Linked DNA regions of Bombyx mori. The protein of the gene in region 2 purifies or fractionates together with the protein of the main gene of each other region. This does not show direct contact. Links are inferred from orthologs where the notes say so. Each region holds a gene or a part of one and is shown on either strand. Other genes may lie near its edges.

Region 1 (3,500 bases), on a different chromosome or scaffold from region 2:
GGTGCGATGGTAAAAACGACACGATGGTATCATCTCGAACAATTTCTCAGAGCACTCCCCATGGAACATGCGGTACAAAATACGGAGGGAACCGAAGTCCCTCCGCAGACCCAGGGGCTCCAAACGAAAGTGGTTACCGGAGCCCATAGACAACGTAAGTGCAGCCACCCACCTTGAGATATCAGTTCTAAGTTCTCAAGTATAGTTACAACGGCTGCCCCGCCCTTCAAACCGAAACGCATTACTGCTTCACGGCAGAAATAGGCGGGGTGGTGGTACCCACCCGCGCGGACTCACAAGGGGTCCTACCACCAGTAATTACGCAAATTATAATTTTGCGGGTTTGATTTTTATTACACGATGTTATTTCTCCACCGTGGAAGTCAATCGTAAACATTTGTTGAGTACGTATTTCATTAGAAAAATTGGTACCCGCCTGGGATTCGAACACCGGTGAATCGCTACATACGAATGCTCCAGGCGTCTTATTCTTTAGGCCACGACGACTTCAAATCAAGGTACCACTTAATATCAAGTTAGCTCGTTCGCTCATCGACATTTCTACAGACACGTTCACGAGTCAATGGAGTACGAATAGCACAAAAAATACGACCAAGAAACTTCATATTTCTTGAACCAGCAGACAGTCGTAAGGCATTTAATTTGTATTACAATGACATTCCTTAAAACAGAGTATAATTCGAAATACGATTTGGCTTAAAGGCCTCGTGACCAGGACACAATATCTTTAAAAAAAAAACTGTCCTATTTATCTGACCTGGAGACTGCGGTGGAGGGGCAGGCGTGGCCGCTGGTATAGTCGTGGTCCTCGCTCCTTGCTGCTGCAGCCATTGTACCTTGACCAACAGTATAATTAGGACTAGTTTTCGAATACAGATTTCGTAAAATTTTGCTTCATTATTTCAACGACTCGATAATGACAGATAAACTATTAAATATCGAGGTGTGAAAAGCTATTTGGATTAAGCGTCATTTTTTTAAACTTTACAAGGAGATCCATTCAAAGTTTAAAATTTAGAAAAAATCTCATGACCAAAAAACTTCTTTCAGTTATTCGAATGTGGCAATATAATTGAAGTTCAATTAAAAACACCGAATTGTTGATGGTAATAATCAAATAAAATGTTACGTATTACGTGAAATGTTGCTTAAACTACATAGCATTTCATCGCTCGATATGATTTTAACGTGCTAAGAGTTTAGAAGAACAAATCGAGTCCACTAATTGAACGTCACCGCCTTTCTTTGGACATAAGGTCGCAGTCTCAATGGAATGCGAATCACGGATAACGAAAACCAGTACTTTGGTACCAATATTGCAGGCAAAATGCCATTTCGATAAAGCGGCACGACACGAGAGCCCACTCATCGTGGCCGCCGATAACTACATCCCCGATCCTGCGGACCGAATGGAAAGCAGTCGACGTCGCCCCAAACACGTCATTTCGGATCCTCCCGATCCACTAACGGTGATTTTAGGTACCCCAAGCACTCGCTCTCGTCGAACCCAGCCCACTAAGTTTCTCGCTGGAGATCCGATACTCAATGGGTCGCGTTTCCGATTCGGTGGTAGATTTTGCGAAGCACAGCTCTTGCTAGGGTTCGCGTTAGGAACATAGTCAGGTTTGAGCCCCCTAGACCATCAGCTTAGGTAGCAAAAAAAGCAGACAAAAGGCTTCATCAATATTTTGCAATTGCGATAGTTTATGGGCTTTACCCAAGTAGTAGGCACTAGGCCAGTTGGTAAAATACTGAAGGTGGGTATTGAAAAAAAGATATGAAGGATGACGTTGATGATACCATACTGATTTAGATGAAGACTGCGGAAATAGTGACAGAAAGTCAAGATGGCCAGTAGTGGTGTATTGTGCAAAAATAATTGATTTGATTGAATAATAGTGTTGAGGATTTGTTAGATGATGCACAGAAAATAAATTCCTTAACCAGGTTGTGCGATTTACCATAAAAGCAATACTGATGTTACCTGTTGTTGTGGTGCGAGTCCGGGCGCCAGTTGGCTCCGTATGAAGGTGACGCTCTGCGGAGCCCCCGGCGGAGACTGTCCGCCCGTCCCCGCCTGGTATAAAAACAGCTTAAATCTCAGTAATGTGCTGATTAAATATATATACACAAGTTCCGGAAGTCAAAGCGTTATGTGAAGGGAAGAACGGAAGGGAGAGAGAATGGTAAGTTGGATCGGAATCTAAAGTAATATATAAATCTACAGTGGTTTTTACGGATGTTCCGTTATAACTACTTAACCATTTTTTTTTTTTTTTTTTTTTTTTTTTTTTATTGCCTTTGTAGGCAGACGGGCATACGGCCCACCTGATGGTGAGTGGTTACCGTCGCCCATGGACTTCAGCAATGCCAGGGGCAGAGCCAAGCCGCTGCCTACCGCTTAATACTCTCCACAAGCCTCGCTTGAAGAAGGACATGTCATAGCGCTCGGGAAACACCGTGGAGGGGAGCTCATTCCATAGCCGGATGGTACGTGGCAAAAAAGATCTCTGGAAACGCACTGTGGATGACCGCAGTGGCTCCAGGTAGTATGGATGAACTCTACTCCGGTGGCGGGCGGTGCGATGGTAAAAACGAGATGCTGGTATCATCTCGAACAATTCCTCAGAGCACTCCCCATGGAACATACGGTACAAAATACAGAGGGAACCGAAGTCCCTCCGCAGACCCAGAGGCTCCAAACGATCCGAGAGGATGGGATTATCGACAATCCGAACGGCCCTCCTCTGTATGGAGTCAAATGGAAGAAGCTGGTATTTGGGAGCCCCGGCCCAGAGATGGGAGCAGTACTCCATGCGAGGCCGGACTTGTGCTTTATAAAGCAAAAGTCTTTGTCCAGGCGTGAAGTACCGCTTCGCTCTGTTGAGGACTCCCAGCATTTTGGACGCCAACTTGGCTTTGCCTTCCAAATGACTCCGAAACTGGACATCGCTCGAAATGTCGACCCCAAGTATCCCGATACTCTCGGAAGGTTGCAGGGATACTCCTTGGAATTGCGGCGCCATGACAAAGGGGTCCTTCTTCGCAGTGAACGCGCAAACTTGTGTCTTTATCGGGTTGAATTGAACCAAGTTCAATTCACCCCATTCGGAGACTCGCCCCAGAGAGTTCTCCACTTCAGACACAAGTTTTGATCGTCTCTCTTGCACCATGCTCCGAGAGAGACTCTGATGGCCGATATATCGCGCATCCCCCGTGCCGTCATCCGCATAGCAATGTATGCCATCAATAGACAGCATGTCATTGATATACAGGATGAAAAGCGTGGGGGAGAGCACCGAACCTTGTGGAACGCCAGCGTTAATGGTCATGGTATCAGAGCAGTCACCGTCTACAACGACCGTGACGCTCCGCCCATCCAAAAAGCTAGCGATCCACTTGCAGAGACCCTCGGGGATTCCGTAAGATGGTAACTTCGATAGAAGTGCCCTATGCCAGACCCTGTCGAAGGCCTTCGC
Region 2 (3,500 bases):
TCAGTAGGGTGAGCTTGGGTCGCGCGGGGGGCCAGGGTGGGGCTCCCCCTCGCAGCCCGGGGCGGCAGTAGCGGTAGCAGGGCGGGAGGGGCGCGGCGTGGTGAGAGTGCATGGAGCCGCCGCCGTGGTCGGGCGCTGGAGAAGCGGCAGGAGATGCCGAGGGCGTGGGCGTGCGCGCTACGTGCGGAGATCTCGATATCGAAGGTGATGACGGCGCCCCTCCCATTGGGCTGTATTGCTGACGTTGTAACATTTGTTGTCTCTACACAAAGATAATTTATTGATTAGTTACTGAAAAATTTGTTTTCAGAAATCTATAATTACTTAATGTGTGTAAATAAACTCACAGCTAGCTCGTTACTAGGATTGCCCGGAGACGGCAGTGGTTGTGGACTCCCCAAAGGAGAAGTTTGCTGCCGACTACCATAAGGCACAACACCGACTCTCATTCCTGCATTAACAAACGAAAAATGCATAAAAGTTGTTAGTGTGTTATAACTAACTTTTTTATAATTAAGTTTTTCTTTTTTACCTTGTTGATGATGAGGTGGCCGAGCAAACCGAGTGGGCATTGGTGAACATCCAGAAGCCGGTCTTGAAAATCGAGCACCACTAAAGTCCGCCTGAAATAGGTCAGATCATATCACACAAAAGCTACACAAAAAATATGCTGTATACAGCCTCCTTGAAAACCCAAAACCCATCTGCAGTTAAATATCTTTATTTTACTTATCTACATAACTTCTTCTACCCTTCCCACTACTTCCTATTAGTCGCATTGACCTATACCATATTTTTCGACCAGGAAGCAGTCCATACGTTCTGGTCTGAAGGGATAGCTATTACTCGAATGAAAGTGATGTCGACCTATTCTGTATCGATGTAGGCAATCTATCCTTGTCCTATGGAGTCCTACATCATGGAGCTAAAAATCAGAGTCATTTAAATTATTTTGTCTCAATACATACGTTTTGTAGCTGTGGCGAATGTGATGATACAGGACTTTGTATTTGTGATTGCTGATAAATCTGGAATATGTTTTTAATTATTAAAAACTAGAATTTTCGTGTTTATTTTAAGTATAAAATAAAATGAAGATTTTTTTACCTGTGGACTCCGACTGGGCGTAGGTAGCTGAGGACTTGTTCTTTGAGCTTGTAGTTGTTGAAGAAAATGTTGCGGCGACATCGATGTTTGCATCGGTGATTGTTGAGTATGCATTGGAGATTGTTGGACGTGCATTGGCGATTGCTGAGAGTGCATCGGACTCTGTTGGTGCATCGGAGAATGTTGTGTGGTCATTTGTTGCTGTGCGTGCATCGGCGACTGCTGATGCATTGGCGATTGCTGCGGATGCATCGGAGACTGCTGAGGATGTATCGGTGACTGTTGGGGGTGCATCGGAGATTGTTGTGGATGCATCGGTGACTGTTGCGGATGCAGCGGAGATTGTTGAGGCAGATTGGTCTGTTGGACGTGCATCGGTGATTGTTGAGAATGAAGTGGCGACTGTTGCGTGTGATGCGGAGATTGAGTGGAAGGATGCAGCGGGGACTGTGAGGTGTGATGCAACGGCGACTGCTGCGAGTGGAGCGGTGACTGCATCGGCGAGGTGAGATGATGGAGCGGTGACTGCGGCGCGAGGGAGTGCAGCGGCGACTGCGACTGCACGTGCAGCGGCGACATGGCGGGGCGCGGGCCGGGCGCGCGGGGGGCGGGCGCGCGCTGCGCTGCGAACTGTAGCATGCCGGCGCCGCGCTCCTGCCCCGACAGTTGCCGCACCAGCTGCGGCTGCGGGACGGCGCTCTGTTCGATGACGAGCGTGCGTCCTTGTACGAGCCGGCTCTGAGCGCTCAGCGGTGACGTCACCAGTCCAATCCTTTGCTCACCACTGAGAACCGTCTGCTGACTCCGAATCAACGTCTGTTGCTGTTGGATGCCCAACTGCATAGGTCGATTGATAGTTTGTTGCTGATGTTGCTGCTGTTGGTTCATAGTCTGAGCCTGGTTGAGCGTGCCTTGATTTGTCGCTATCTGCTGTTGATTTATTATAGTCTGCTGAGCCAGCTGAGGATTTTGTTGACGTTGTTTATTTTCATATTCCTGGAATTTTAAAAGTGGTTAATCGCGATGATACAACTGTAGTTCGTTAAGAATTCATATACGATAAGAAAATTAAACATGAAGTAGTTATCATAACATTAACTCACCTGGATCAACATACTGTGCTGCCTGGCTTGCTTCCTGGCGGCGTCCAAGTGTTTCTGAAGAGCCTGCTGTTCTGCTGACACGCGCTGTAGCTCGGCTGCGTCGTTTGGTAGCAACTCATTCCCCGACTTACGTAGCTGCCGTTGCTTGCTATTTAATGACTGAAAAATAAAAAACACCGGTGTAGAACAAAAGTCAACTAATAAATAAAGAGTGCAGGATCCCAAGGGGATTCTCGAAATAATAAAGAAGAGGGAAATATTGCCAAAACGAAAAGCAAAACAAAGGGGGTTCTGCTACGCACTACAAAGCTTACGAACACGAAAGCGCACTACGGAGCTCACCTTGCGAATCTTGCGAAGTTTCTGAACCTCGAGCTCGTAGTATCGCTGTTGCTCAACTGCGAAGACATTGAATTGCTTGAGCCACTGCTCGTAGAGGCGGCGCGCGTGTAGGTCGGCCTCGGAGTGCGAGCGGTCGGAGGGCGCGGGCGGCTGCACGGGGGGCACGCCGGCGAACAGCGGCACGGCGGGGGGCGCGGGCGGGGCCACCACCGCCGGCGCCGCCACTGCGCCGCCGCCCCACTCGCCCTCCCGCTCCTGTTCGCGCTTCTCCTGCTCCAGAAGCTCCTCGAGAAGCAACGGTTGCTCCTGATTTATGTTCTAATTGTTAAACGTTGCTATCACCCATTGGTGATATTTCAATTTCTTTCAATTTTTTTACTATTTCAGTAGTTTTCAATCATTAAGTTACCTGTCTCATCTTGATATATGAGAAATGTATAATTCAATTCTCTTTATATATTACAGAAACTAATAAAAGTTTTCGGTAATATTTTAGGGCTGTCATCAATTTAACACTGTATGTGATTGTCTTCATAGTGTGTTTTATTTAAAAAACTAAGTGCAGTCTAATCACAAACTACAGCAAAAAATAATCATTAAATAGGCTAATTAAATTCAATGCTTCATTTGTGTCAATAATTACTATTTAAGAAGTTCAGTTTTTTTTAACTACAATACAGAAATTAAGATAATGAAACGATCTAACTGTTAAAATTAAACGGTCACCATCCCTGACGCGCTAGAAGTTGAATAGCTCCACCATTAATAACTAGACAGATGAGACAAGCAACCTAGATTTATAGCTTAGATTAAATGAAAATATTTTTTGAAAGAAATTACCGTCTAATTTGTATCTACAAATGGCAGCTCATTTACATTAATTTCAAGATTAAGAAATAAAAGCTGACTTTGTAAGTGTAAAGTATATTTATATGATTTATATCCATG

Evidence for each region. Proteins that work in one complex are often made in the same cells at the same time.
Region 1: the proteins of histone-lysine N-methyltransferase 2C (region 2) and PAX-interacting protein 1 purify together in Homo sapiens (affinity purification with mass spectrometry; 4 studies listed by BioGRID and IntAct, with this or other methods). This does not show direct contact. The link is inferred for Bombyx mori from reciprocal best matches to the Homo sapiens genes KMT2C and PAXIP1.

What each region holds. Positions count from the first base shown.
Region 1 is NC_085122.1:9,066,735-9,070,234, reverse strand, and holds part of PAX-interacting protein 1, read right to left. Parts: intron 2,099-3,500; coding exon 2,006-2,098; intron 858-2,005; coding exon 779-857; intron 1-778.
Region 2 is NC_085115.1:12,732,074-12,735,573, reverse strand, and holds part of histone-lysine N-methyltransferase 2C, read right to left. Parts: intron 2,859-3,500; coding exon 2,553-2,858; intron 2,370-2,552; coding exon 2,211-2,369; intron 2,104-2,210; coding exon 1,108-2,103; intron 1,029-1,107; coding exon 969-1,028; intron 624-968; coding exon 533-623; intron 452-532; coding exon 348-451; intron 263-347; coding exon 1-262. UniProt on the Homo sapiens protein: Histone methyltransferase that catalyzes methyl group transfer from S-adenosyl-L-methionine to the epsilon-amino group of 'Lys-4' of histone H3 (H3K4).